4 linked regions of the Alligator mississippiensis genome follow. The protein of the gene in region 4 interacts with the protein of the main gene of each other region in a pairwise test. Links are inferred from orthologs where the notes say so. Each region holds a gene or a part of one and is shown on either strand. Other genes may lie near its edges.

Region 1 (6,962 bases), on a different chromosome or scaffold from region 4:
AATGACAGCCATGTCATCTGTCCAGGCCCTAGGACAGTGCTGGGTACAATAGCAACACTTGAAGTAGAGAGCTTGTAAGAAGTGTTGCATGAGATTGAAGAGCACTTCGGAAGGAGGAGGTCCTCAAAAGGCTGTGGGGTAGCTGCTCCGCTATTTGGACACAGCATTATGTGAATGGGGATCTGCCTGGTGACAGGAACAAGGAAGGAAATGGCCCTGGGGACTGAGGTTTTCATCTGGCAGGCTGCTGGGAGCTGTGGCTACTTCCCGTTTCGGTCAGTGCATTGAGTCCCGTTTGATATCTTCGTGTCCTGAGAGCTGTGTAATTACAAAGCCCCTGTCAGCCTGCCAGGGCAGCTCTGCTCAGCTGCAATCTATAATCCTCCTTCTGAACTGTGTGAAGCATCCTCTCTCAAATCCAGTCATTAGTCTTCTGTCAGACAAACTGGGAACCTCAAGAGAGATTTCTTCAGAATAACCCCACTGCAGCCAAAGCTGCGGCAGCGACAGGCCCCTATAGTTATGTCAAAATGACAATCAGCTTTGGGCAGAGGTTGGTCATGAACTTTTCATGGCTTACTGGGCCCCTGATACCATGAAAACAAAATCAAAAAAATCAACTGCTTCTGCACTACGCCTTTAGCCCACGGGCAGGGAACACTGTAAGAACCCAGATGTCTGCTCTCTGAGCCTGGATGAGAGTCTCCTGCAGCCCAGCTCCAAACAGCCCCAGAAGGGGCATCCGGATATGTGAGCTCACAGCCCATCTCCCACTTCTCTGCGTGCCATTCCTGGGTCACGTACGCGCACATTTGCACGCGCTCCCTCCCCAGACAAAATGAACGACGGCTACTCAAGCCTTTGCCTCCCTGTCACGCAGCTAATTCCCTTTAATCCTCCCCTGCAGTCTCTGCAGAAGTGACCTGCGAGTGGGCTCAGTGCTGTGCCTGTTTCTGCCGCTCTAACGTGCAGCTAATCCTGGGGTGGCTGGGATCACACTAACAATCCCCCAAGCTTGACCAGGAGCGCTTCTAAATTGCTCTCCAGGAGCACAGGCAGCAATATGGATCCGATTACAGGAGAAGTGGGCTGCCTGGCCTCTGCTCTGTTCATAATGAAGAGTAATCCTAGAAAAACATGTTGCCAATTATGCTTCAATTGAACCCAGATAGCGACGCTTAGTGAAAGCCCAAAAAGGAATGAATTTAGATGGTGAATTCCTTTCTCATGAAGAAGGAGGTCTCTCCACGGCTGGCTCACGCTCTGTTTGTGGCTGGACGGGATGAGGGCTGGTGCTGGAATAACTCCGCTCCATCCCATGGAAATAGAAAGCAGGCCTTGGGAGACATTCCTCTGGCTATGCTGGGATGACTAACTACTGGATCTCCGCGGAGAAGAGAGTAGCGGAGGTCGCTCTCAAAGTAATAACACGACGCTCATCCTAGGGATGAGGTGTGCATCGTGATTGAAAAGATATATGTATCTTATTTAGTTAGTCTGTAAAGATGCACGTCGCCCCTGCCTTCTGGCTGACTTCAGACTAAGACAAGCCGTCCAGCCAGTGGTCCCTACCATTCATTTGGACCTGGCCTCTTTCCTCCGCAACAGCAAAGCCATGCCGATTAGCTCAAAGAGATGCCACGAAGTCTCTGTGTAGCAGCAAACCTTCCCTCGCCCTCGTTTTATTGTCACCCTGCGTTAAAGGGTTTTACAAATGTCTTGTGCCTACCCATTTACTATTGCTATTATAAGCCCAACTGCAGAGGGAGGAAGAATGGATAACAGATGCATTGAGAAGGCAGGGTAGACTTGCACCTTATGCACTAACCCGAGCGAGTGTGTGTGCGTGTGCACACGTGTGTGGATCTATACGTACCTACATCTAAAGTAAGCTTCAGCTCATGAAAGCTTGTGCTAGGTATATATTGACTTTGGTTAGACTAGCAGGTACAAATCCTACCCTGTCTTCTACTTGGCTTCAGACGAACACAGCCAACTACATCTCTCATTTAGAAGCCCCATAAAAGAGCTTGTCTATAAATCCTAAGACACTATATTTAAAGTTTGGTGCCCTGTGGCCTCTCAAGTCTAGTCTCAGCCTCCTTGTTCTGCTAGATAGTGAGGAATCCCAGCTTCTCTCCATTGGAACAAAGCCCTGGTTCTTTTGCTCATTCATCAAAGCCAAGCTTTTTCCCAGGGAAGGTGTGGTTTGAAGGAATATTTGACTCCAAATTTCTTTCAAAAAGGATTAAAGGTTTACACATTCTGGCTCAAAATGACTTTTTATGTTGAAATATAAGTTAATGATGGCACTTTTTAAAAAAAGTCCAAGAAGAGACATTTCAGAAATAAAAATTGGGTTGATTTTTTTTTCCTTTCCCCTAAATGTTTGGCTCATGAAAATTTTTGAGGTTTCAGTTTTTGTATCCTTCTGTGGGAACGGAGTTTTATTTTGACCATTGCAAAAACCATCACAGAATGGAAAAACCATTTCCTACTCAGCTCTACCGAATGTTGCATTGATCAGAGGGGCAGGATACGTAAGTGGAGGGGAAATGCCCTATTTGTCGGGGGGTGGAAAGTAGCAATGTGCTGGCAGATTGTTTTGCCTGAATTGCAACTGGCTGAAAAGCAGTTTATGGACTGGAAATGTTAGAGGTCCTGGCAGAATCAGTGATCAGAGTGCAGGCCATGGAGCCAAAGATAGATGGAGAAAAGGAATTCATCACCTGGCTCCGTGATTTCTCACAGGAGAGAATAGACCATGGTTTGTCATGCGGGCTGTGTTGGCATGAGCTGTGCGCAGCTGTTTTCATCACATATGATGAGCCACTCGTGAAGAGTCTGTGCAAAGGGCACTGGAAAAGGAAAAGCTTTTGTACCCACACACTGGGGTGTATGTCTCATTGTTGGTCATGTTTTCAACCTGTATGGCAATATTTTTCTGTTATAAACCTCCTTTTCATTAGCAAACACACAGCAGCTGGTTGGGGATTGTTATAGTTGGTCAGGATCCTCAGGAGCAGAGGCTCAGACCCTCAAAGGTGTAGGTGCCTAATTCCCACTGAAATGGGTGGCATTTGGGCACCCAAGTAAAATTACTGTCACGTGCCTTTGGGCTGCACCCAGGTGTTTTCTGAGGTCACTGAATGAGCCAGAAAATGGGAAATGTGCATGGATGTTAAAATAGCCACGCTTTAAACAAACACCTTCAAATGTGGCTGCATCTAAAAGGGACTTATTTGGTAGCTGTGTTGGTCTGAGACGAAAAGAAATGCAAAAATCTAGCGCTCTTGGTTCAGAGATGAGACCTTTTAAGGCGTTGTCTCTGGACCAAGAGTTCTTGATTTTTGCATTTCTTTTTCACTGCATCTAAAACGCACCGGCAGCCCCCTGACGACGAGCAGGGTCTGGCGCTTACAACGCTGTGCAAAGGGAAACCACCGTCCCGGAGGGCAGATGCCACAGCGGCTTGGACAGGAGCTGACTTGGCCTGGTCCGTGCAGTACACCCGAGCTGACCTGCAGCTCGCTGGGGTGAAGGCCAGGACCGCCTGATCCCCCAAAGACAGCCCTGGGCATCTGCAAGCGTTCAGCTGGCCTGTGCCCTCCTTCCCCTTGGCCTCTGCCCATTGACTAATCCCAGTCAATGGCCCTTTGAAAACGCTTTCTCAAACAGTCAAGAGCAGCAGCTAAGCTGGTTTCCATCTGAATCATAAGTCGGCGCAGCGGCGCTGGAGCGCCCAGCAGACATGTGTGTGTGCGTGTGGGGCTGGATGTTGATTTTAGCCTGAAACAACTCCAGGCTTTATCAGGCCCATCTCTTTCCCACGGTTTTCTGTTGCCAGTGAGGTCACTGGTCCCTTTAAACCGCTGCTGAGACCAATCACCAGGCGGGGGTGGGCGAGGGGAGAGGGGGACAGGAGACAGTTCACACAGCCTGCTCCTTTTACAGGAAGACTTTGGGCTTGCAACCAGCCTGGGGGGAGGGATGAGAACCTGGGAAAGCCGGAGCCGCCGAGTAATCCGTCACTCCTGGGAGATGTCTCATTAACCCATTAACCAGGGAGGTTAAAGACGTGCTGAGCAGGGAGAGGGGGTGGGCAGGGAAGCAGGGGAGGCGGCGGCGGCGGCTCTGCCCAGCGCAGCGCAGCGCAGCGCAGCGCAGCGCTCGCCTCTCCCGCGGCCGGGCTCAGCCGGGAGCGCCCCAGGATGAAGCGGCTGGGCGAGGAGAGCTCGTCGGACACCGAGTCGGACGGCACCATCGATGTGGGCAGGGAGGAGGAGTACAGGTGGGCCGGGGCCGGGGCCGGGCCGGGGGAGAGGGGCCGCTCTGCCACTGCCGCGCGGGGCGCGCCTTGCCCGCGTCCCCTTGCCCCCCGCTCGCCGCACCCCAGCCCCGCGGCGACACCAGGGGATCGGCCCCCGGGGGGGTCCAGCGCCTCTGTCCGGGCTGCCGGATGCGTGCGCAGGGACCCCCAGGCTCTCCATCTGCAGAGGTCACAACCCCGAGGCCGATCCCTTTTATCAGACCCGCTAAGAAATGGCAAAAAAATATAACACCGCAACAACCACAAACAATTCTCTTTTCTCCGCAAGGTTTCAGGCTTGCGTGAGCCGGCGGAGATCTGTTTGCGGTTCCTTAGTGGGTCTGATGAAAGGGATCAGCTCAGAACCAAGGAGAATAGAGTTTTTTGCATTTCTTTTTTGGCTCGGGCCAGCACGGCTACCCAGCGCGTGCGTCCCTGAAACGACCCCAGGGCTGCATTGATGGAAGAGCAAAAATTGCCCCTAAGGGAGCGGGGTGCAGGACGGCACGGGGAGTGCCCGCTGCCAGGACTCCCCCAGGGACTTTGGGCCAGTCTGGCTCTCTGCTGTACAGGGAGCCCCGGCTGTGAGGTGTCATTTGTTCCTGCCCAAGATGATCTCGGGAGGTCCCTTCCAGCTCCTAACATCTATGAATATTTACAGCTGTGCTTCTCCCGCTGGGTGCCTCGAAGGCCTTCAGGGTGCTGCGGGCTGCCACGCCGCGTTGGCACGGTGGGGTGCGCAACCGCGACGGGCAAGATTAAACGCAGGATTTGAAACGGGGATCAAGAGCTCCCTGCCCCGCTGTGGTCTCTCTGTTCTTTGCAACAGAAGAGCTGCTCTGTTATTTTTCCGTAGGCAAAAAAAGAGTGAAAACCGAGAGTTGGCCTTCTCCGAGGGGGCCTCGAGCCTAACGAGGTTGAGAACCACTGGTTTACAGAGTGGTCGGGGGGCCTGGAGGGGGGAGAGATGTGACTACACATGTACAAAGTGTTGTCTCTCTTCATTAAATAGCCACCAGAACAATATTAGGAAGCCTGACCAGAAGAAATGCATGCATCCTAACCCTCCAAAAACTCAGCCTAATTCTCCATAAATCATTCACATTTATCAGTGCTAATGAAACCTTTTAGAAAGAAGTCGAGTCTGGCAAAGCAGGGTCTAGGATTGCAGTTCATAAATCTGCATTGCATTCAAGCAGTACGGGGGGGTCTGCTTCGCTGTGAATGGAGTTTCACTGCATTTGCCTTTGCGGTGAGTTAGTTCTGCTCGTGAGGCACAAGGCGCGCTATGCCATGTATATACATAGCACCTTGCGCTGTCCGTATTGGGCACGTGCTGTCATGCAGGTTTATAAATGATATATCGACTGTGTTTTGGATAAGCGTAATCCTGCTTCAAGCAGGGGGTAGATTCTGACCTCTGGAGGCCCCTTCCAGACCAACTTCTCTGTGAGTCTGTGAGATGCTGAGATGAATGTAGGCGTTGACACACAAATGCAGCAAATCCATATGCAGAAATCACACCTAGCAGATGCTCAAACAGCATAAAGACAACAGGGGTGTGAGACACTATTCAGTAGAAAGATGGGTTATCGTGTATAAGAAAAATATTGTGGGAACACTTGGCACGTGCCTAACAAAAATGTATTTTTAATGGACCAAGCTTGGGCTGTCTTTTGGCCTGCTGTGCAGAGGACGCTGTGCCTGTAGAAACTTTTTGAAGTGTGAAAATGCTTTGCCAAACTGAAAAATACTTCACTTTGGTAGAGTGAGCTTATCACCCTCTTCCCAGACTTGTATTTCTTGCTTGCTGTTCAAGCGCCCCGGGAGTTTTGTGCTTGGATTTTAGCATCCTCGCTCCTGATTTCCCAAGCGATGGAAATAGGCTGGCAGAGCACTGTTGTTCTGGGAACTGAGGAGCTGTGGTGGAAAGATGAACCACCTCTAGCTGCCCAGGACCATGGAAGATCATTCAAGCGGAGGGTTTGTGTAGCTGTCCTGTCAAATGTACCGCGTCCAGGAGGTTTTACTGTGTCTTCCCAGCTGGCTGCCATTACAAAGGATATCCCTCCTTTGCAATCCAAACGTGCCCACAGTGTCCTTATCCTACTCTTTTTATCACGCATTGTACAAGAGATACTCAGCACGGTGACACTAGGTTGATAGACTACGTTGCTTATACCAGAAAAACTCGATCTGACCTCTTTCTCTCATCTTTACCTGCTCTGTCTTGCTTCCTGCACTGTTACTATGGGTCTTTTGTCTCCTCCTTGGATCTCAGACACAGAAAAATGTGAAGGTCACCCTCCCTCCGTTTTTCCCATTGTAACTGTCTTTTCCTTGAGCCCCTGCATTGCAGCCTGGGACTCGCTGGTGGTGACAGAACAGTGCCCTCAAGGGATGTTCAGCAGCAGGCAGTGGTCGCCGCTGGGAAATGTTGCCTCCCATCCCACCTGCTCCCCCAGAGCTGAGTGGCACCTTTGTAGGGCTATAACACCTCTTCTTTTGGGGAATAACTGGTTTGATTAGTTTCAAAGTTTACTCTTCTGCTGTTTCCCTTAATCGAGGATACTGTCCTGCGCAACCCAGTCACTGTGGGTCTATCGCATGGCAGGAGAAACAAGCCTGCAGCTCCCAGAGGCATCCTCAGTAA
Region 2 (7,509 bases), on a different chromosome or scaffold from region 4:
GGGCAGGGGAAACTGAGGCTGGGAGAGGTGCCCGGCTGTTCCCCATGCGGTGCTTGTACATGGAGCAGGTCCCAGGATGGCCCAACAAGTCCCCACACGGTGGAGGGAGTCTGGCAGAGAACCCAGGAGTCCTGGCTCAAACCCCCTCAGCCCCCACCCCGCAGACCCCTCCCAGAAGAAAACCCAGGCGTCTTGACTCCCCTCCCTCCATGTCCACTTTAACACATGCAGCCAGAGAACCAGGCGTCCGGTCCCTCCTCATGGTGTGGCACGTGCAGCCCCTTGGCCCTAAGCCAGGTGGGCACCACGTGGCCAGGACCATCTGGATTGTGCCCCCCTCCCCCCACCCCAGCTCCCTAATTACCCTCGAGATGGCTATTCTGAGCGCAAAGCCGGGCTATTGTTAGCTCCCTGCACTGCCTGTGGGGCTCAGCCCTCTGCCCAGGGGTTGCCCCCCCACCCCTGTCCTGCTGCCAAGAGCTCCCTGCCCCCACCCTGCCCCTTTGACTGGCCTGGCCTGGGTCCTGCAGCCTGGGCGTGTGAAGCGAAGCAGGAAGGGGCTGGCAGGGTGCCGGGGACAGGAAAACCCTGGGGCAGCTTTTGCCAGGACCAGGAGGAGGAGGAAGAGGAGGATCGGTACCAGCACACACATGGGCATGGCCCTGCCAGTGTCTCTACAGACCGGGGGGGGCGGGGCCGGCCCTGCCAACAGTGTGCACAGGGACCCTACCCACGCACACGCACGCGGGGCCGTTGGAGAGACGTGACTCCAGGCCCGGGCACACAGAAAGACATAGGCTCGGAGACCGGAGGGGGCCCTGCAGGCACAGATGCCGAGACGGGGGGGCCTTACAGGGTCCCTGCCAAATCATATGCAGAGACCAGGGGGAGTCCTGCTGGCGCATACACAAAGACGGGGGGGCCCTGCCAGCAGAGACCTAGAGACCAGGGACCCTGCTGACATGCAGAGACGCTGGGGCGGGGGCCTGCTGGCACAAACACGAGAGACTGGGGGGCCTGTGCCAGGATGTACACAGAGATCAGAGGCCCTGCTGACATGCACACAGACACTGGGGGCCCCTGCCATCAGAGACCCAGAGACTGGGGGGCCCCTGCTGACATGCACACAGACAAGGGCGGGAGAGCCTGCTGACATGTACAAAGACACTGGGGACACCTGACAGGTACAGACACCGTGGGCCCCTGCTGACATGCACACAGATATAGGGGGGACCCTACTGACCCGTACACAGAGACTGGGGATCCCTGTCATGCACAGACACTGGGGCCCCCTACTGATGCATACACAGAAACCAGGGGCCCCTGCTGACACATACTCAAAGATCAGGGGCCCCTGCAGCACGTACACAAAGGGCAGAAGGCCCTGCTGATGCACACAGATGGGGTGGGGGAACCCTGCCAGTGTGTACACAGAGACCAAGACCCCTGCTGACATGGACGAAGACACTGGGGGGAGGGGGCCCTACCAATGTATACACAGAGAGTCCCAGCTGTCCACAAGCCGGGTGGGGGGGAGTTCCCTGCATGCAGCCAGACCCCAGGGACATGCCTCATGAAAGCCCATGCACATGCATCCACACCACTACACGCCCCCCGCTCACTCGCCAGCCAGCCCCAACCTGTGGCCAGGCTCTTGCTTCAGCACTAACCCCCCCCCACCCCCAACATGCGTGTGAGAAGCATGTACAAAGCAAGACAGGCATGAGAGGCAGAGGACAAGGCCACTAGCTTGGGTAGCACGGGGGGGGGGCACATCCTGCTGCTGGTGCCAACCTGGAAACCCCCCCGCAAAGTGACGGGCTCCTGCCCAGCAAGGCAGCAGAGCCCCCAAACTCAGCCAGCAGGACCTGAGCGTGCCCCAATCCCTTGGGCTGGGCGGCCGCCCCACCTCCCCACCTCCTCCCCCGCCCCAACCGCAGGCAGCAAACAGAGCAACGCGGAAGGCTGGGTCTGCGCCGAAAGAACATCCTGTACCCAGGAACAAACAGGCGTGTGTCATCCCCCGCCGCGGGCGCAAGGGGGGTGGTGCTGAGGCACCCGGGATACTCACGGGGTGCTCTCGGGGCTGGCCCAGAGGTTGGCGCTGCCTCTCCGGGGGTCACAGGGCTGGAGCAGTGTCCGCGGGGGGGGCCTGAGTGCACGGGGATGGAGATGATTCTTCGGGGGTCCCAGGTGGGCGGGATGTCCTCAGGGGTCCCGTCACACGGGGATGGTCCTTGGTGTCCTGGGGGCAGGGGGGTGTCCTCAGAGGTCCCAGGTGTGGGGCTGTGTCCCCAGGGGTCCGGTCACACAGAGATGGAGGTGGGGGTCCGGGATGCAGGTGTCCCCAGGGGCCTGTCACACGAGGCCGGAGCTGAGTCCTCAGCAGTCCCAGGTGCGGGGGTTTCCTCAGGGATCCCGTCACACAGGGATGGAGCCGATTCTTCGGGGGTCCCGGCTGTGAGGGGGTGTGTCCTGGGGGGTCCCGTCACACAGGGATGGAGCTGCGTCCTCGGGGGTCCTGGTCACATGGGAATGGAGCTGATTCTTTGGGGGTCCCAGGTGTGGAGGGAGTGGGTGTCCTCGGGGGCCCTGAGCGCGGGGCTGCCTCCTCAGGGGTCCCGGACACGTAGCACCAGCACGGTGCCCTGTTACAGGGCACCGGAGCAGGGTCCACAAGGCAGGCACGGTGTCCCCAGGTCCGGGGGCCTCAGCGGTGGATGGCCTCTGGCTCGGGGGCCGCGGCAGGGGCCGGGGGGCTCAGACGAGCGCGGGGGTGGCGGAGTCGGGGCCCGAGCGTCCTTGCGCCAAGGGAGCGACGGGTGCAGTGAGGCGAGCAGGCGGCGGGTGCGACGCTGGCCCCCGCGTTGTGTAACGCCAGGCTGATGTCAGCACCACTTACACAGGCCGCACGTGGACTGTGGTGCTGCCGCCCCAGGTCTCGGGGCCGCCCTCATTGGCTGAGCCGGCGGCCAATGGGAGAGGGGCAGGTTGCATAGCAATGAGCCCAGCGTCATTGAGGAAAGACGAGGGGGGGGGGGGTTGCTGCTGATGCCAGGCGTTGGCATGGCAGCGAGGGGGGGCTGCTGCTTCCGCTGGGTCCTCGCCCACCCCCCAGGTTGCACCCCCCCCCGCCCCGCTCTAACCACTCGGATGCACCCACCCCCCCCCAACCACTGGGTTGCACCCCCCCCGCTCTAACCACTGGGTGCACCCCCCCCCCCGGCTCTAACCACTGGGTGCACCCCCCCCGCTCTAACCACTGGGTGCACCCCCCCCCCCGGCTCTAACCACTGGGTGCACCCCCCCCCGGCTCTAAGCATTTGGCTGTACGCCTCCCCGGCTCTAAGCACTGGGCCCGGCCCCTCGCCGGGGCCCTGGTGCGCGGCCGAGCCTGGCTGGCGGCTGCGCGGGGCGGGGCGGGGCGGGGCGGCGGGCGGGCGGGCACGGCGCCAGGGCCTGTTCGCGCACCGCCGCTGCGGGTGCCAAGAACATCGTGTTCCCGGCGTGGCCGCGCCAACCGCAGCCGCTCCCTCCTGGCGCCCTGCCCCGCGTGCTAATTTGTTCCCGACCTGGGACGTGATCCCGATGTGGGACACGGGGTGTGGGGGGACATCAGGACCCCCAGCGCCCCACAGCCCCAGGGCTCACATAGGCCGGCACAGCGCAGGCCGAGGGGTCGCGCGGGCTGGCCCAGCGGAGGCGCGGGCGGGCGTCGTGCCCTGGCCGGCCCTGCCCTGCCCTGCCCCGCCGGCGGTGCCGGGACAGGGTGTCCCAGCCAGGGCTGGAACATCGGGGCGGGGCGGGGCGGGGGGCGGCACGTGGAAGGCCACGGCCCGCGCCCTCTGCCCTACTGTGTGCGCTGCTGCCGTGGGAACTGGACGCGCCACGTACAGCGCCGGGCGCTGAGCCCGCACCCCGGCCACGGCTCTCGGGAGGGAGCGCGGATGCCTGGGTTTTCGGCGGGGCTGGGACCCCGGACACCTGGGGGGCGGGGGGGGAAGAGCGATGACGTCAGAGCCGCCGGCCCCCTTGCCCCCCGGTGACGTAAGCGGGGCTCCCGGCACCGCCCCCCCTCCAGTCCAGGAACCCAGAGACCCACCCCCCACCGCCGGTTGGCCCCGCCCCCTCACGTGGAGCCCCGCCCCCCACTAGGTAAGGAGGCCCTGTCCCCTGGGAAATGAGGCCCACACGTGGCCCCGCTCAGTCCGAAGGTAGTAGCCCTGCCGTCATATGGAGCTTAGCTTCACCCCCTGCATCCCCCCGCGCCCTCATTGGCCGCCACCGCGCGCCGACCCCTCCCCCCTCGGCGCTCATTGGCCGAATCCCGGGGCGGCCGTTGGCTTCGCCCCCTTCGCCCCCATTGGCCGGTGCCGAGCAGCATGCAGGAGCTCGCGTGAGCAGGCCCCGCCTCAGCCCGCCGCCCATTGGCCCGGGCCCGCTGGGGCCCCGCCCCCGGCCGCCGATTGGCCCGCGGGGCAGGTGGTGGGGACACGTGCGGCCCTGCTCACGCGGCCACGAAGCAGGGGTGGAAACGGAAGCGGAAGCTGGGGGCGGAAGTGGCCCCTCGGGTGTCTAGGTTTGCGCGTGGCGGAGGCGGGCCGCACTCGAGAGCTCAGGCGTCCGCCCCCCCCCTCCCCCTAGCCCGGGCACCAGCTCCCCCGACGCGCACGATCCAGGTGTCCAGGCCTCATCACACCCCCTCCCCCCGCGCGACCTAGGCCCCCAACTCCAGGGACTCAGGAGTCCTGGCCCCGACTTCCTCCCCAGGGCAGGCAGCCAGGACCTCCCCCAACTGCCCTCCCCGCCCCCTCAGGCATCCAGGCCCCAGCCCCCCACTCCCCCAGGGGTCCCAACTCCCACCCACCAACCTGGACTGGGAACCCAGGTGTCCCAGCTCTCCCTGCCCGCTCCCCCCACCCCCAGCTCGCCAGGGTGAGAGTGGCTGGTCCACAGCCCTAGGTGGGGAGCCCAGACGCCTGAGTTCTCTGTGCCCTGGACCCTGCACTTCCATGGGTGTGTGAATCCCGGATGCTTGGGTTCAATGTGCAAGTGTATGTGTGTGACAGTCCCTGACACTTGGGTTCTGTGCATGTGAGAAGCCTTAACTCCTAGGTTCCACGTGCACGTGCGTGTGACTATTCCCGACGCCTGAGATCTGAGCACCAGCTTCCCCCCATGCGCAGGATCCAGCTGTCCAGGCCTCAGCACCAACCAACCAACCCCCCCCACCCCCGGACCTAGGCATCCGGTCACGCTGGGTTCTGGGTGTGCTTGCATGTGTGAATGCCAGCTGCCTGGGTTCTACGTATGAGAAGCCCAGAGGCCTGGATCCCATGTCTATGCTTGTACGCGCATGAGAGTCCCAGACGCCGGGGTTCTGTGTGCACAAAATCCCGCACACCTGGGTTCCATGTGAACGTGCGCAAGTCCCGCACACCTGCATTCCATGTATGCACATGTAAATCCTGGACACCTGGGAATCCTGGCTGCCTGGGTTCCGTGCGTGAGGGGCCCGGACGCCTGGGTTCCGTGCGTGAGGGGCCCGGACGCCTGGGTTCTCCAGGAGTTGAAGGGAGTCCAGATCAATTCAAAGGCTTCCCCCAAACCTAGGCAGAGGGCAGGGACCCCTTCCTGAGGCTGGAGCAGGCCCCAGCTGTAGTTGGAGGACAGTGATGGTGCTGCCAGGGTAGGCCCCAATGCTGCCACCTCTGGCTGAGGCAGCAGCATCCCCAGGTGGGCTGGACAGAGGGACCAGAGGCAGTGCTCTCCACAGGACACCAATTTATTGTACATTTTCACAGCATCACGTCGCTCCCGGCTCCTCCGCCCCTGCCTGCCTGCCTGCTGAGGGGGGCCCCAAGAGCAGGGGGGTGACAGTGACACCCACCCCCCTGCTGGGGGCCCAGCCCCCCTCTCCCCCTTTCCCTCCGCCTGCCCAGGGGGTCCCCAGTGCCACGTCCCTCCACGCAGCAGCGGCGGGGATGCCCCTGGGCTCAGCCCCCCCGGAGCGCGGGTCCAGCGAAGTCATCACAGGGACAAAGTCACGAGTCACATCTGACATCTGCTAGGGGGGGGGCACTCACCACCACAACACACGAAGGGGGGCAGGATTGGGGCACCCCCTGCTGGCCACCAGGGACCCTAGTGCCCCCTGACATTGGCCACCAAAGGATTAACAGGGGACCCCCCCAAGCCAGGCCAGCCCCCCAACACCGGGGGGGGGGGGTGGAATGTGACCCCTCTAAAAGGGGTAGTTTGGGCAGGCTAGATCTGTGTGGCAGGAAGAAAATGCCCCCATTAAGGGGGTGGGGTGCAGGGGGGGCTTCCCCCACGCCCCTTGGTCTAATCAGGAATGTCACAGAAGCTGGGGGGATGGGGAGGAGACCGCGGCCCGGCAGGAGATGCAGCCACCTCTGAGGTGGGACAAGGGGGGCAGTATCATGGAACCCCCTCCCCCACTAGGGGGGTGGCTGGGGGGGCGGGGCAATTAAAAGACAATTAAAAACACAGCAGGGGAGGGGAGGGACACCTAAAAACCTATTAATAAATCTACAAACGGACAAAATAGAGCAGCTCTATGTGTGTATAAATAACCCGGTATGTACAGACGGCCAGGGGGGGAGGGGGGGCGCGGAGGGGGCACACGCACACGCACGCACACGCACGAGGGCTGGAAGAGACGGCCGGGCCAGGCTGGGCCGGCACCACACGGGGCCTCTAGGTGCTGAAGTACACTGCAAGCAGAGGGCAGCCGTCAGCTCCACGGGGCAGGGCTGAGGTACATGCAGCTGGGTCTGGGGTGGGTCCTGGCTGAGTATAACAGGGCTGTGACCCAGGGTTGAGATGCAGCTGGCTCTGGGGCAAGTCATGGCTGAGTATGACAGCCCCTGACCCAGGGTTTGATGCAGCCGGCTCTGGGGTGGGTCCTGACTATGTATAAAAGGGCTGTGACTAAGGGTTGAGATGCAACTGGCTCTGGGGTGGGTCAGGCCGAGTATAACAGCCCCTGAGTCAAGGGTGAGATGCAGTCAGCTCTGAGGTGGGTCACAGCCAAGTATAACAGACCCTGGCCCAGGTCTGAGATGCAGCCAGCATTGGGGCCCCTGCCAGGGCTTCCTGGACCACCCCCCTCCTCCCCCAGCAGGACTCACCGATGATGATGATGAGGATGATGGCGCATATCACCCCCAGGATGATCATCATCTGCAGGAGAGAGACCGTGAGTGCAGCAGGAAGAAACGGGGCTGAGTCGGGAGTGAGGGGCACTGGCAGGGCTAGGGGGGCAGGGGGCTGCAAGTCAGGAGCGAGGGGCTGCAGCGGGGCCGTACCTTGAGGTTCTTCCACCAGTACTTGCGCTTGAGCTTGGCGGCGCTGGTCTCAAACTGGGAGGCGCCAGCCTGGAGAGCGTCCGCGCGGTCATCCAGCTCCGACAGCTTCTGGTCCCGCTCCAGCACTTTGTCCACGTTCACCCGCATGATGTCCACCACCTGCGGGGCCGGGCAGGGC
Region 3 (7,914 bases), on a different chromosome or scaffold from region 4:
ATTTGATATCCTTTATTAGACCAACCCAAATGGTTGGAGAATAGTTATTAAGCAAGCTTTCGGGTTCAAAAACCTGACGAAGGGTTTTTGAACCCGAAAGCTTGCTTAATAACTATTCTCCAACCATTTGGGTTGGTCTAATAAAAGATATCAAATTCACCCAAGGAACCTTGTCTGCCTACAACTTCAAAGCACTTCACAGAATATTAACTCATTTTCATAACAAGTCAAGACTGACTGCTATAGATTGGAACACAGGCCATGGTGCAAAGTCAGGAGACTTTCACCACAGATCCTCTGACCCTTGCACCGAACTCAATGAAGAGTGCCAACAGTAAACCAGAATTAGAATTCTGCCCCACAAGGCCCAAATTCACTGATTAGGAAACAGGATAGTTAGAAACTATTGCTGGCGCTGCAAAGGAAGATGTATCTTGTGATGGGTCCCATATACAGCAGGAAAGGCATGCAATTCCCTCACTCCCAAGAAATTTACTTGTCCACAGATATTCAAGATGTTTATACCTGGGGTTCAGTCCCAGGCAGAGATTCATCAAAATTTACAGTAACTGCCACCAGGACAAACAGGCAAATAAATATTAAACAAAAAAAGGAAGATGTTTAAGGAGCACTTGTTTTAGCATCAAATAATTGCTTTATTTTTTAATATAAAAATATACATTTACAAAGAAAATACAAACAAGCCTCTGACAACATTACAAAAACATAAAGGGGGAAACTGGCATGAGGATGGAAGGGGGAGGGAGGGTTCTATTCCTAAGTCATTTAGTCATGATCAGCAAATCATGCAGCAAAAGTGTTTCTCCAAGTGGCTGTGCTACACGAAAGTCCATGTTCAAACCACTTGCCTCAAAAAACTTTTATTTAGAGAGTTCAGGCCAATAAGCCACTTATTTCTGTGCTCATTTTTGGCCTTAACATGACTTTCCCTCACAATAACATCAATCTGCCTCCTGCTTTTACTTGCCATTTATAAGCTCCAGTGCCTCATCTTTGGTCCGTGTGATCTTTTCCTGCCTCCATGATGAGGGCCTTCTGGACTGGTTGTGTTTCACCAAAAGATGTGAGCAGCGCACTTTGGCCGGCTCCCCCTGGCCATTTTTCCCACCTCCGCTGGGGCGCTCCCATTGGCTGGCATTCGTAATGTGGTTGAAGTAATACACACGGCCTAGAAACAAGAAGGAAAAGAAAACCAGGTCTTTAGAAGATCCACAGCAATAGCCTCTTGCTTATCGCAGCAGATAAATTCTGGATTTCTGCAGGTGGGTGAAAATGTGGATGTCAGCTCACTGCAGAATCAGTGCAGAGGCTGGGAATACTTAACATCCCCATAATAACAGGCTGTCTCAGCATTACAGATTTCAGTCTATTAGAACTCTCTACCAAGGTTTTCTAGTGAGAAACAAAGATGCCCTGAGCAAAGCAGCTGCTCTACTCAAAACCAGACTCTTGACACCATCTCCCTTTCCAAAGTTGGGCAAGTCACTTTTACTTCAGTGAAAGTGGGATCAGGGTCTATGTCAAAAACTCTTGAAACCTTCCCAAAACAGCAGCAGCTTAAGTGCTGGCTGGCTCATTTGTAAAGCACCGATTATTCTTATGGAAGCAGCAAGTGCCTGCAGCTTTCCTGAGTCACATGACACCAACACATCTTCAGAAGCAGCACAGCGACATAGTGGAACTCTGCCCATTTTACCCCTGCAGCGAAGGTGAACGGTGCCGAGTTTCTGACACAGGGGGATTGTGTTTCATTCCAATCCAGCTTGCAACTGAGAGCACAAAGCATGGCAAAAATCCCTATCTATTTAGACCGGGTTTTTGGTTGTAGCTGTGTTGGTCTAAGGTCATAGACAGGCAAGGTTTTTTGAGTAAATGTGGTATCTTTCATTAGACCCATTGAGTACTCAGTTGGTCTAATAAAAAACATCACATCTACTCAAAGAACCTTGCCTGCCTATGTATTTAGATACATTTAGGGGGTAACAGTATCCTAATAAACAGATCCTTCAGTTAACAGGGCACAGTTTTCAAAGCAGCAATCACCTCTAACTATGCTGGGTGTTACACAAACAAGGGACCCCTGACCCTGAACTGACCTTTGCAGGCTGGAAGTGAGGAAGACACTCCTCCAAAACAAATCAGCCCTTTCTTTATCAGGAAAGGGCAGGCTTTCCCAGAAGCAGCCAAGAGTTTGGGGACACTGCTCTGAGATCAAGACAGCTAAAGCAATGTCCCAGCACTGCTGGAGCACCAACTGTAAAGGGTCCCCAACCCGCAGGATGAGGTCCACTCATTCATGCACTGGCAGGAGCTCAGACTCTGACTAAACAAATTGTGAGCACCTCCGACATCCTAAGAGGTGCCAGCCCGGGTCCAGAGCTCTGGGGCACTGCAATCACTGGACGAAAACCCCGACAACGGCCGGGTCTCTGTACACCGGGAGGGGGGGCAGGAGCAAAAGGCAATTCTAGTCTCACGACAAAGGGGACAAACCTCTGCTTGGCCGGGGAGGGGCCTAGACCCGCCTGGGCTCCCGAGGGAGCTCCGGGATCAGCGCGCGTTTTCCAGAGCCGCCCCCCCGCCCCCACGACGCATATCCCTCCCCAGAACCTCTCCCCCTGCCGGCGCGGGGCAGCTCCCCGGCCCCTCCCCCCGCACGAGGCGAGGAAAGGAGCGAGGCACCGCGGGGTCGGGCCCTGCCGGGGCCACAAAGGACCCACCAAGCCCCATCAAGAGCAGAGCGGCGCGGCCCGGCCCCACAGCCCGGCCCCGCCCTCCCAAGCCCCGCAGGGGCCCGGCCCAGCCCGCCCCGGCCTCGCGGCCCCCCAGCCGCAGCGCCCGGCCCCGGCCCCGCGCGGCCGAACGCCCGACCGCGCCGCTGTACCTGAGCTGCGGCTCATGCGCTTCTCCCAGCCCGCAGGCAGCTTCTCCTCCTCCGCCATCTTCCCTGCGCGCGGCACCTCCTCCCAGCCTCTTCCCCGCTGCCGCACGCGCTGCCACCCATTGGCTAGAGGAAGGCCCCGGGGCAGGATGCTGCGAACGGCCATTGGCTCAGAGGGGATCGTGGTCCCACCTCCAGGTCGCTCATTGGTGGAGAACACACTCCCCTTCCCTCCCAGCCCTGATTGACTCGGAGCGCTAGGCCGCAATAATCTCGGAAGAGATTCAGGTTCTGGTAGCTCGAATGTCGACGGCGGCCGGGGAGGGACAAGGGGCGTTGCGGAACGCCTGAGGAGTGCCGGGGAGCCCTCGGGGCCTCAGTGCAGGCGGTGCCAGGTGCCCCGGTTCCCAGCCGGGGTCGGGGGTGCCTTAACCGCGGGAGCGCGCAGGGGCGCCCCCAGGAGGCTAATTGACCGTCCTTGCAAAATGCAAATGACCCAGAGCCACGGAGCAGGCGCTGGTGCTGTGCAGGCCGGGTGCCTCTCGCGGCCTGGGCTCTGGATACGGCCTGGACCCCATCGCCAAGCCGCCCAGGTTGGGCCGCGGCGAGACGCAGGCGAAGGCAGGGGAGATTTGCAGCAGTCAGAAGCAAGAGCAGGCTGCAGCAGGTGCTGCAAGGGGCCAGCCAGGCCTACGGGAGCAAAACGGGCTGTCCCGATGACTACCACTTACTAGCTCCTGCTGTTACTTAAACTAAGGTTCAAGTATGAAGGACCCTCTCCAGCCTGTCCTTCACTGTCTCTAGGAGAGCCGTGCAGGTCGGAAGGCCAGGGAGGTTTGCATCTTCCCCAGACTAAATGCACAGATGCAATCATAGGTGCACAAGCTTTGCTCAGCAAGAGATGAAGTTTATGGATTTTTGATTTAATCTATGAGGTGTAAAGTGCAAATGTACATGCCTTCTGATTCATTGTATTGATCAGGCTGGAGCCAACTGGCTGCTCCCTGTGGTGGGGGGAGCTGCAGAAATTTGCATTTTGATAGTTTCCCCTCTGAGTCGCTAGTAGCTCTGCACCTGCTGCCTTCCTAGTGACATGCACCTTTTCTAGCTAGATTCATAGATGTTAGTCGGAAGGGACTTCAATAGATCATCAAGTCTGACCTCCTGCATAAGCAGGAAAGAGTGCTGGGTCTAGATGACCCCAGCTAGATACTCATCTAACCTCCTCTTGAAGACCCCCAGGGTAGAGGAGAGCACCACCTCCCTTGGGAGCCCGTTCCAGACCTTGGCCACTCGAACTGTGAAGAAGTTCTTCCTAATGTCTAGTCTAAATCTGCTCTCTGCTAGCTTGTGGCCATTGTTTCTTGTAACCCCCGGGGGCGCCTTGGTGAATAAATCCTCACCTATTCCCTTCTGTGCCCCCGTGATGAACTTATAGGCAGCCACAAGGTCGCCTCTCAACCTTCTCTTGCGGAGGCTGAAAAGGTCCAGTTTCTCTAGTCTCTCCTCGTAGGACTTGGTCTGCAGGCCCTTGACCATACGAGTTGCCCTTCTCTGGACCCTCTCCAGGTTATCCACATCCTTCTTGAAGTGTGGCACCCAGAATTGCACGCAGTACTCCAACTGCAGTCTGACCAATGCCCGATAGAGGGGAAGTATCACCTCCCTGGACCTATTTGTCATGCATCTGCTGATGCACGATAAAGTGCCATTGGCTTTTCTGATGGCTTCGTCACACTGCCGGCTCATGTTCATCTTGGAGTCCACTAGGACTCCAAGATCCCTTTCCACCTCTGTGCCACCCAGCAGGTCATTCCCTAGGCTGTAGGTGTGCTGGACATTTTTCCTCCCTAGGTGCAGCACTTTGCATTTCTCCTTGTTGAACTGCATCCTGTTGTTTTCTGCCCACTTGTGCAACCTATCCAGGTCTGCCTGCAGCTGTTCCCTGCCCTCCGGTGTGTCCACTTCTCCCCATAGCTTTGTGTCATCTGCAAACTTGGACAGAGTACATTTCACTCCCTCGTCCAAGTCGCTGATGAAGACATTAAAGAGTATCGGTCCAAGGACCAAACCCTGCGGGACCCCACTGCCCACACCCTTCCAGGTCGAGACCGACCCATCCACCACGACTCTTTGGGTGCGACCCTCTAGCCAATTCGCCACCCACCAGACTGTGCAGTCATCCACATCACAGCCTCTTAACTTGTTCACCAGTATGGGGTGGGATACCGTATCGAAGCTATGACATTCCTTTTGGCAATTTTTCATAAGATACAAAAGTAAAAGCAGGTGTCCTGCCTCAATTCCAGTCCAGGCAGTTCCTAATTTCCCCCTGCAGTTTTAGGTACAAAATTCTCTGCTTCCTGTTCTAAGCCGTGATCCAATTGAACAAATGCTGCATGTCCACAGGAGGCTGCACTCATGTTGATCTCAGAAGAATACCTGAACTTCCTGCTTAACCCATCTCCAAAGTTAGGGTTGAGGAATATCATGATTAGGAAAGCTTGCCTCACTGGGCCTTCTGGTTAAAAGGACTCTGAAACAGTCCAAGACTCACTACTTTCACCAACAGGAAAATAAATTACTTAAAAGGCACCATAAACATCCATATTTGTCAGTGGAAAGCTTTAAATAAGAAAGAGAACAGCTGTTGTGAAGAGAGAGTCTCATTTAACATCCCTGCCTCTGTGCTTAGGCTGACTCAGAAATGCACAGAGAGGCTGCTTTCTCTCATTGGCCATTTAATTCTGGAAAACATCAAGACAAAATCATCTCCTGCTGCTGCCCTGAACTTCAATCTCAGCTGATTAAACATGCTTATTAACTGCAGGCAGCTGCTCTACTGCACGTGACACACATTACTGAGCAGCACAGAAATAAGCTCAGTAAAATGAAAGAGTGGGTTTGGGGGTCTGCACACACATTGAAATACTCCTTTTAAAGTGTTTTGTAATGGATTCCTCTCATTCATCCCAGTCTCACTCCCAATCTTGTTGCTTTGGCTGGGATCCCAAGGCAATTCACATCGATTGTGTTAAATGAGCAGTGCAGAGTGGGATTTTTTTTTGAAGTATCATTGAAAAACAATAGTGCGTAACACACAATGGTCAGCAGCTCCATTAGAGGCATGTAATGGGAACTGCTTTTTGCATTTGTCAGTCTAGATCATACCTTAACCACTGCACTGAAGTTTCTGTTGAGAATAAATTACCACTCCCCTCCCCTCCCCCAAAAAAACAAACAAAAACCCAGACTGCTTCTAAGTTGAATTAAATGCATTTGCTCTGGGTTTTCAATTCTCAACCAAAAATGAGTCTAGCCTAGGAGATGGCGATAGAGCAGCTTTCATGTTATTTCAGAAAGCTCAAGGCTGTCTTCTACTAGCTATGTTAATTAGGTTTGCTGTGGAAGTTACCAAGAAAGAGATTTTGTCTGCCTTAAAGCCATGAACAGGACACTGCAACTGTCAGGAAACATTTATTACAAACACAAATTTAAGAACATAAGCAATTTTGTTATATGTTTGCTGCCTGTGTTATTGCCAAAGCCAAATAGCTCTGACTAAACTATATGCACAGCTGGAGCTTTTCACTTGCACTTTACACTAAATAAGGAAATATATAGACATGTTTAATATTAGAAGGAAAGCAGAAAGTGTGCTGCCTGCCATATACAATTGCAGCTCAAGTCCAAACTACTGATAGTATAGCTCCAGGTTCATGCCATCATGGATTTCATCTGAAGAGTAAAAGTTAAGGGAATTCCCATGGAAATATATTTAAATACAAACAGAGGGTGTTAGATATGAACATCTGTCAGACCAACGATTCAAAAATCAACAACAGCAGGAAACTTCTTAGATAAGTGCACAAGTTCTCAGCAACATGATTCTTCTTATTCCATGTCACAACCTGGATAAACTGCTGGCCTCACAAAAAAGAGTCTGAGACTCATGTGCTGCTTGTAAGTGCTAATGTCTGAAGCAACAAACTGGGAAGTTAATCCAAAGGGTTTTTTGTGTTTGTACCAAGAGATTTCCTAAATAATCACCACTGTGCTACATGACTGACCCGTTACCATTAATCAGTGGCCAAGAACATAAACAAGACATCTCATTAGTGACAAGCAGCAATATCAGATAAGGAAGGGGTGCTGTCTGACTGTGTACATGCAATGTGTCTCTCTCTCAAGTACTTAGAGAGTGACACCTGTTTTCTAAAAGGTTTGCTTTAAAAGATGCTGATGTCTTTAAAATGCATTTTACCTAGACCACTCTGATGCTTAAGGATACAGTCTCCCAGTGAAACGTGATCCTTGAAAATGGTGTACCTGCAAGAGTTTGAAAGGAAGTTAAAACACCTAAGCTCGTTACAAGGTTCAATAAAAGGAAATGGAGCCAATAAAGGGACTACTGTTGTATTATCAATATTTCCCAATAGTAATTATTTAATAAAAAAAAAAGTGAGCAGTTGAGATATGAAGGCCAGAGTTTCATAAGCAAAATGTTTTCATAGCCAGCAATCATCAAACCCAAAAAGCATGGAAGGGAAGAGACACCCTAGGTGCTGTTACAAGACAAGAAGCCTTCATTTCACCTACAGGATAAATACAAAGAGCTCTAGTTCAGGGTATAGAAAGACTTCAATCCAATGTTTGCTAAAGGTTTTAACTGTATTTCAACTCCTGCTAACCCATCGTTTTTGTTTCAACTTCTAATAAAAAATCTCCCTCACAGCAACCCCCTCTTCCCCCAACATGTCACAGCCCACGGCCTTGATGGACACGCGCTTCTGGGGGAGCAGCTGCAGTCAGCACCACAAGGAAATGGTTACAGTTAAAGACTGGATCAAACCCGGGGCCCATCAAAAAACACCCAGGACTTGGGCAACCTCCCTGGGTAGGACAAAAGGAGGAACTTACCTGCTGGGGCCAAAGCTGGCAGCCGCCAGGAGCCCTTGGGCTGCCCAAACCTGACCCAGTCCCACACTCACCATTTCTTCAGCACGATCTTG
Region 4 (7,056 bases):
CTCCTTTGGTGATCACTGCCTCCCTTCATTACCTGCTTCTGCTTCTGTTGTGATCACCGTCTTCCTCTTCCTCCTCTCCCTTCCTCTCCCCCAGCTCCCTGAAGGTAGTCAGGGTCTCCAGGCTAGGTCTTCTCCAGTTTCAGTTTCCTCCTGCCCAACTGGTGGGCAGTGTGGCCAATGGAAATGTGGCAATGGGATGGTGCAGCCCACAGCTGCTCAGAAATTGGACAGCCCTGGATTAATGTATTCATTTTAAAGGCTCTCCCTATAGGGCAGGGATGGACAGAATGGTGGATCCAGCCAGGAACCAAACTCCATTTCCCAGCAACCCCTACTCATGTTGCTGTGGCCCGTTTCCATGAGACCACAGTAGTGGCGGTGCCGTGATAGTATGGGCACAGGGCAGGGCACATTAGGCAGGGACCTGATCCACGGCCGGGGCTGAGATCTGGCAGTGGTGAAAACATGGTCCAGAGGATCCGCTGCTTGCACACCACAGCTCTGGACCACACAGAGCCAGATAGTGGCTCTGCCCCAACTTCAGACCACTCCGTCAGTGCCGTGAGATTCCAGCCCTGGAGCAGCTCCTCGTCCAGCTGCACTCTCTGCCAGTGCTGCTGGAGCCAGTCTTCATGGAAACCCTGGCCATGCACTGTCACAGCACTGCCACTGCTGGGGTCTCCATGGAAACCGGACACAGCAATGTGGGCAGGGGCTGCTGGGAAATGGAGTTTGCCATGGGCCAGATCCAGCCCATGGGCTAGACTTTGCCCACCCCTGCTATAGGGCCCGACCCACTTACTTTAGTGGAAGAAATTAGTTTTTACTGCTTTGGACTTCTGTCCAAGCTGCAGAAACAACAGTTGATGGGGAAGGTGCTGGGTTTTGTGTTGGCTCATGTGTAAGCAGCAGAGCGAGTGGCCAAGATCCAACTGCAAGGGCAGATGCTGTGACTCTGACCCCTTATCCAGACATGGAGCTATTGGCACTTTTGTTTCCGCAATGATTTTCAGAAGGGTAAGACATAGCCCTAGGTGCCTATCCTGCAGTTTAATTACGAGTTCTTTTCTGTAACCAACATGTCCCGATAGCTATCTCAGTACACTCTGCTTCTTCTGTCAAGCATATCTGCTTTTATCTTTGCTTTTATCTGTACTTCTTACTTCTCAGATTTAAAATCCCAAATGCTGAACTTTGTCCTACACATCTGTGGTGTTCCTGACTTTCAGCACTCGCCAGAGTAGGGAAATATACGGCAAAAAAAATTGTTTTAGGTTTGTCCGTAATGTAAGCAAATTGACTTGTGTTGCTTCAAGGTCAAAGTGTAACCATTCAAGCAATTTAATCTGGGGGCATTTTCTAGATCACTAGCTAGTGTTCAGAAATGGCAAAAGACATTAAAGCACAGCTTGCTTTGTTGTATGCAGACCTAGAATACTGTACTTGCTTTAGAGGGCTGGTTATTACTGGCCTGTTAATGAGCTAGGCATTAAGGAGTCCAGTGGAAATGAAACACTGGTGGTGAGATTTTCCATTCCTAGGGCTGGTGGTTAGCAGCAGAAGGACAGGTCACACATTGCTGCGTATCCTGATGTGAACTGAATTAGGTTCAGAAAAAGGTTTTGCCCTTGAAACAATCTCCTTGGTTCCTTTATTTATCTATTTGTTAATGGGAACAGCACAAAGGCATGGGAGGAAATCCATACCCACAATTTCGGGGATCATAGGGGTAGTTTGTTGCCAGTCTGGTATGCAGAGGTTAATTAGTGGGCGTGTTTACACAAGACGCTTACTGTGAGGTAGCCTAATAACACCGAGCAGTAGTATGCCGGTTAAAAACCATGCTAATGAGGTACATACTGCACAGTGTTATTAGGCTACTATGCAGTAACCATCACAAAAAAACCATGTGCCAGCACTACCGCACAGTAGCTGTAGTTACTGCACATTTAGTTAGTACTTCATTAAGGAAGTACTAAACTAAATGGTCAGTAACTACTGAGCATCGATGAATGTGTAGATGCTCCCAATGGCCAGTACTGAATAGGTGCTTTAGCTGGGAAAGACAAGTTCACAGGATAAAAGTTTCTTGATTTGAAAGCCTCCTTTTTGTCTCTCCTGCAGGGGGTGCTTGGCCACAAACAGCTGCTAGTGTGCTTTAGTCATCTCAGTCAAATCCAGTGGGTCTCTGTTGGCCTTGCCACTGTGCAAATGATACCAAAAAGTGCCAGAGAAGCCAGATCCCCAGGGATGAAAGGGAATGTGTCAGAGCAGGTACAGCCCCCCTCCATCTGGCATCCGAGCTCCTGCTGTTTAGCAGTGGAGCCATTTGTCATGTCTGTCTCTTCCTATTCTGATGGCAGCCAGCTCTGCAGGGTGACGTTGTCTCTGCTGGCTCACTCTTAATCTCCCAGAGTCTAGCCCAGTTCTACCTCACCCATTTCAGTGAAGCATCTCTTATGGCTCCAGAGAATTGGAAGGACTCCCTCTCTCACACTGCCAGTGGAGCAGTGGGGGACATCCTGGTCTCTCCTCTGTCCCACAGGCTGTGCAGCCACCTCTTCTCTGGGTTTGCTCCCTGCTCAGTGGGATGAGTAGACAGCAGGTGGAGCCTGCATGCAATGAGGGTACCTGTTGTATTGTGAAGCTGATGTGGGAATGAACCTGGATACAGGTAGAGAAAATGTCTTAACCCAGGAAGTAGACCTGTACAGAGGCTACGTCCTCTATACAGAATTGGCTGCAGTGGCAGAGCGCCAGAGAGTAACACAGGTGTTTCCACCTGGAATGCAGCTTTCTGAAGACAGCTGGCTTGGAGCCAGGTACTTGTACACCAATGTCTTGCTTGATATTTTTTTTCCTTTGAGAAAACTATATTAAAGCTAACATTTGATTTAAATTAATTCCCCCCTCAGTTGCTCCAGACACCCCCATCAAATCCTTTTGCAACTGCCTGCTGTGGGTAGCAATTCTGGGATGTTACCTTTTGTATAGCAGGCTTGGTTCAGCTTTGATTTTCTAGATCTGAAGCCCAGCAGGGCATACTGTGGCAGATCCTCTTAGTCTGGTCTCTTGTAACAAAGGCCAAAGCATGCCCCAGGAATCCTGCTGGAGCCCACGGTTTCTGTTTGGGCCAGAGTGCATGTGCCTGCAAGAGACACCCAAACTGGCCTGAAAGGTTTTCTATCTCAGGGAGCTCACCATGTTCCCAGGTGGGTTGTTCCCCAGGTAGGTTAGTCACCCCTGGCACCTTTCCACACTTTATTTCCAGCTTCCTTTCACCCACCTTCAGCTGCAAGCTGGTGGGTCACACCTCCTTGGCTCCAGTGCTTCACTCAAGGGAAAGCGTCATTTCAACACAGAAAGGAGAGAGGCTTGGGGCTGAAAGTGGGGCAGCAGGGCATGGGGGAGGGGCGGGATACTTTAGAAAAGGGACTTTTAAAAAATTAAAATATATATACATATACATACATACATACACATATATACATATCCTCTATCATAAGCTTTCCATCACACATCTTAAAGCCACATTAAGACACCCGCACTTCCCGTTACAATAAACGCACCCAATCCCCTGCGCACCCACCCTCCACCCTCACCTACCCCAATCGCAGTCCTTTAGTCCAGGCACCGATTTGAGGTTTATATTCTCAGTTCATTCACTGTCGCTGTCGCTTCCGCTGCTGCGGATCCTGTTGCAGCCCTCCGCGCTGCCTCCAGGTCCAGTTGCATCTCTGTCCTCTTGGCTCTCCCTGCCCGCTTCCCCTCCCGGTGCGGGGGTCTTTGAACAACCAGCGCCAGGTGTCGCTTTTCCACATGAAGTTGGCTGAAAGGGACGGGGCGGCCCGGGTATCCGTCCCTCCGCGCCGTGCCCGCCGCAAGCAGCGCGGGGGTCCGGCCCCCTCGGCGGACAGGCTTGCCCGCCCAGGCGGCGCGGCGGAGACGCCCCGGCTCCAAGCCCCGCCCCGCCCCAGCCCCTGCCTGGTGGGGGCCGCGGGGCGGCTGTGGACGCCGCCCCGACGGGGGGCCCCGTGCGTGCCGCCCCTTCCCGCCCCGCCCGGCCCGCGGGCTCATTTCAGCACCGCCCGCCGCAGCCCGGCTCCAGCCAGCGCCGGACCATGAGCAGCCTGCCCGCCGACAGGGACGGCGGCGCCGCCGACGCCAGCCCGCCCGAGGAGGAGGTACCTGCCGCGGGGCGTGGGCGCGGCCGGGGCTGGGGCGCCTTCTGGGCGCGGGGCAGGGCCGAGGAGCGGCCCTTGGCCCGGCTCAGCCCCGGGCAGCCTGGCCCCGCGGCCCTGCCGCGCCGCCACTTCGAAAGCGCCGCCCTTCCGCGGGGGCAGGGGAAGGCAGGACAGGAGAAGCCTCTCCTTGCCTTTAGCCCGTGACATTCTTATTCGGGGAACGTGGCATCCAGATTCGCCTACCTAATTTGTCGTTTGGTTTTCTTAAAATCCCGGTATTGGTATAGCACAGGCTGGGGACCCTGAAGAAGTCCTAAGGATCTCTCAGGCCCCCCTCGGCTCTGTTGCTGCTTGGACCCAGACCTGGGCTGGTGGGTTGGGAGAGAAGTGCAACTTCTCAGACCCGTTTGCGGTTCTTGAAAGGTGGCTTGTTTCCGGGGTCTGAAGACCACTCCGTTGCAGGCGAGGCCAGGAAATCTGTGTGCAGCACGATTCTGCTTAGCCAGTCAAATAACCAGTACCTCCCTTCTCCCCCATTTTTTGGTGATGTCCAGATACACAGTGCAGTGCCCTGGGCTTACAAGAGTCCTAGGAACTGGTATCGTTCTCATGTCCCGCACACTACTAGGTTTCCTGCACATGAATGTATGTGTCTGGCACCCCCTGTGCTGTGAGTGAGATTTCACAGCACAGGAAAAGCATATCAGTGTTATTAGTGTTTAGGCTGGAGGAACTGCCCTCTGGGGAGCAGCTGTGTCTTTGGGGGTCAGCTCAGGGCTGCATGTGGTGACATTGATCTCCCCCAACTCTGCAGGAAAGCTTGGAGGATTGAGGTTTTCTGGTTTGTCATTTCATCCGGGTGGGTGCTCACCAGTTTAAGGAAAAGCAATTGGGTCATTTTGGAACTGGCTCAGCAGCAATGCCTGTAGGCATGCCCATGAATGCCACATGGCCCCAGTGGCTGGAGGGGCACGGCAAGCTCCAGCAGGCAGCAGCAGCGTTGGCAGCAGTGGTAAGCGTGGAGATCCCACAGGCAACTGCGGTGCTGGTGGCAGTGATGGGGTGGTGGTGAGCATTGAGCAGCGGTCAGTGACCACCTGCAGACGTCCATGATCACTGCTGGTGGCGGCCAGTGGTGATCGTGGACCTCCCTCAGAGGCCGCCAGTGGTGTTGGTGGATTCATAGATTCACAGATGTTAGGGTCAGAAGGGACCTCAATAGATCATCAAGTCCAACCCCCTGCATAGGCAGGAAAGAGTGCTGGGTCTAGATGACCCCAGCTAGATACTCATCTAACCTCCTCTTGAAGACCCCCAGGGTAGGGGAGAGCACCACCTCCCTTGGGAGCCCGTTCCAGACCTTGGCCACTCAAACTGTGAAGAAGTTCTTCCTAATGTCCAGTCTAAATCTGCTCTCTGCTAGCTTGTGGCCATTGTTTCTTGTAACCCCTGGGGGCGCCTTGGTGAATAAATACTCACCAATTCCCTTCTGCGCCCCCATGATGAACTTATAGGCAGCCACAAGGACGCCTCTCAACCTTCTCTTGCGGAGGCTGAAAAGGTCCAGTTTCTCTAGTCTCTCCTCGTAGGGCTTGGTCTGCAGGCCCTTGACCATACGAGTTGCCCTTCTCTGGACCTTCTCCAGGTTATCCGCATCCTTCTTGAAGTGTGGCGCCCAGAATTGCACGCAGTACTCCAACTGCAGTCTGACCAGCGCCCTATAGAGGGGAAGTATCACCTCCCTGGACCTATTCGTCATGCATCTGCTGATGCACGATAAAGTGCCATTGGCTTTTCTGATGGCTTTGTGTCACTGCTGACTCATGTTCATCTTGGAGTCCACTAGGACTCCAAGATCCCTTTCCACCTCTGTGCCACCCAGCAGGTCATTCCCTAGGCTGTAGGTGTGCTGGACATTTTTCCTCCCTAGGTGCAGCACTTTGCATTTCTCCTTGTTGAACTGCATCCTGTTGTTTTCTGCCCACTTGTCCAACCTATCCAGGTCTGCCTGCAGCTGTTCCCTGCCCTCCGGCGTGTCCACTTCTCCCCATAGCTTTGTGTCATCTGCAAACTTGGACAGTGTACATTTCACTCCCTCGTCCAAGTCACTGATGAAGACATTAAAGAGTATCGGTCCAAGGACCGAGCCCTGGGGGACCCCACTGCCCACACCCTTCCAGGTCGAAACCGACCCATCCACCACGACTCTCTGGGTGCGACCCTCTAGCCAATTCGCCACCCACCGGACTGTGTAGTCATCCACGTCACAGCCTCTTAACTTGTTCACCAGTATGGGGTGGGATACCGTATCGAAGGCCTGGATGGAGGGGGGTGTCAAGCAGCGACCGCCCACAGGCACCACCAGCAGTGTCAGCGGTTGCCTTTTTGTAGGGGGTGCACCGCCACGCTCGGGGGGTGCACGTGCACCCGCATACGCATCACATGCCTATACACGTGGGCATGTCTATACACGTGTACACATGTCCACATGTGCTACTGGTGCATCTCCAGGGAAGGCACAGTCTTACCAAAGTACTTGAATATTCACATTTAGCATAATCTTATTATGGGGATTCACAAGTCTCTTCCTAGAGCAGTGGTCTCCAACCTTTTTATGGTGAAGATCACTTTTTGGCATCCCAGGATCTATTGCACCCCCCTGCCTACCCTGCCCTGCTCCTAGCTTCCATCAGTTCACTGGAAAATTCCAGGTCCAGGTCCTTTTCCTGGTGTGGCAGTCTGTACTAAATGCCTACCATCAAGTCCCCTTCTCCTCCATATCTTTACCCACAGGGTCTCAAGTCGCCCTTCTCCTGAACCAATCTGGGACTCCAAGGAAGCATACTGCTCCTTTTATATAGAGAGCACACCT

What was found.
Region 1: the proteins of RBPMS (region 4) and HEYL interact in binary tests that used the Homo sapiens proteins (3 or more experiments, as listed by UniProt). The two-hybrid records come from large-scale screens. The link is inferred for Alligator mississippiensis from reciprocal best matches to the Homo sapiens genes RBPMS and HEYL.
Region 2: the proteins of RBPMS (region 4) and PER1 interact in a two-hybrid assay, tested with the Homo sapiens proteins (2 studies listed by BioGRID). The link is inferred for Alligator mississippiensis from reciprocal best matches to the Homo sapiens genes RBPMS and PER1.
Region 3: the proteins of RBPMS (region 4) and PIN1 interact in binary tests that used the Homo sapiens proteins (3 or more experiments, as listed by UniProt). The two-hybrid records come from large-scale screens. The link is inferred for Alligator mississippiensis from reciprocal best matches to the Homo sapiens genes RBPMS and PIN1.

The regions. Positions count from the first base shown.
Region 1 is NC_081829.1:4,798,431-4,805,392, forward strand, and holds the start of HEYL (hairy/enhancer-of-split related with YRPW motif-like protein), read left to right. Parts: upstream 1-3,948; 5' UTR 3,949-4,211; coding exon 4,212-4,291; intron 4,292-6,962. UniProt on the Homo sapiens protein: Downstream effector of Notch signaling which may be required for cardiovascular development. Transcriptional repressor which binds preferentially to the canonical E box sequence 5'-CACGTG-3'.
Region 2 is NC_081838.1:25,070,078-25,077,586, reverse strand, and holds the start of PER1 (period circadian protein homolog 1), read right to left. Parts: upstream 3,006-7,509; 5' UTR 2,072-3,005; intron 1-2,071. Other genes in the region: VAMP2 (vesicle-associated membrane protein 2), read right to left, coding at 6,721-6,737, 7,155-7,206, 7,332-7,490. UniProt on the Homo sapiens protein: Transcriptional repressor which forms a core component of the circadian clock.
Region 3 is NC_081831.1:22,016,057-22,023,970, reverse strand, and holds the start of PIN1 (peptidyl-prolyl cis-trans isomerase NIMA-interacting 1), read right to left. Parts: upstream 3,016-7,914; 5' UTR 2,964-3,015; coding exon 2,906-2,963; intron 1,190-2,905; coding exon 989-1,189; intron 1-988. Other genes in the region: UBL5 (ubiquitin-like protein 5), read right to left, coding at 6,597-6,640, 7,194-7,231, 7,894-7,914. UniProt on the Homo sapiens protein: Peptidyl-prolyl cis/trans isomerase (PPIase) that binds to and isomerizes specific phosphorylated Ser/Thr-Pro (pSer/Thr-Pro) motifs.
Region 4 is NC_081825.1:169,286,539-169,293,594, reverse strand, and holds the start of RBPMS (RNA-binding protein with multiple splicing), read left to right. Parts: upstream 1-4,037; 5' UTR 4,038-4,121; coding exon 4,122-4,184; intron 4,185-7,056.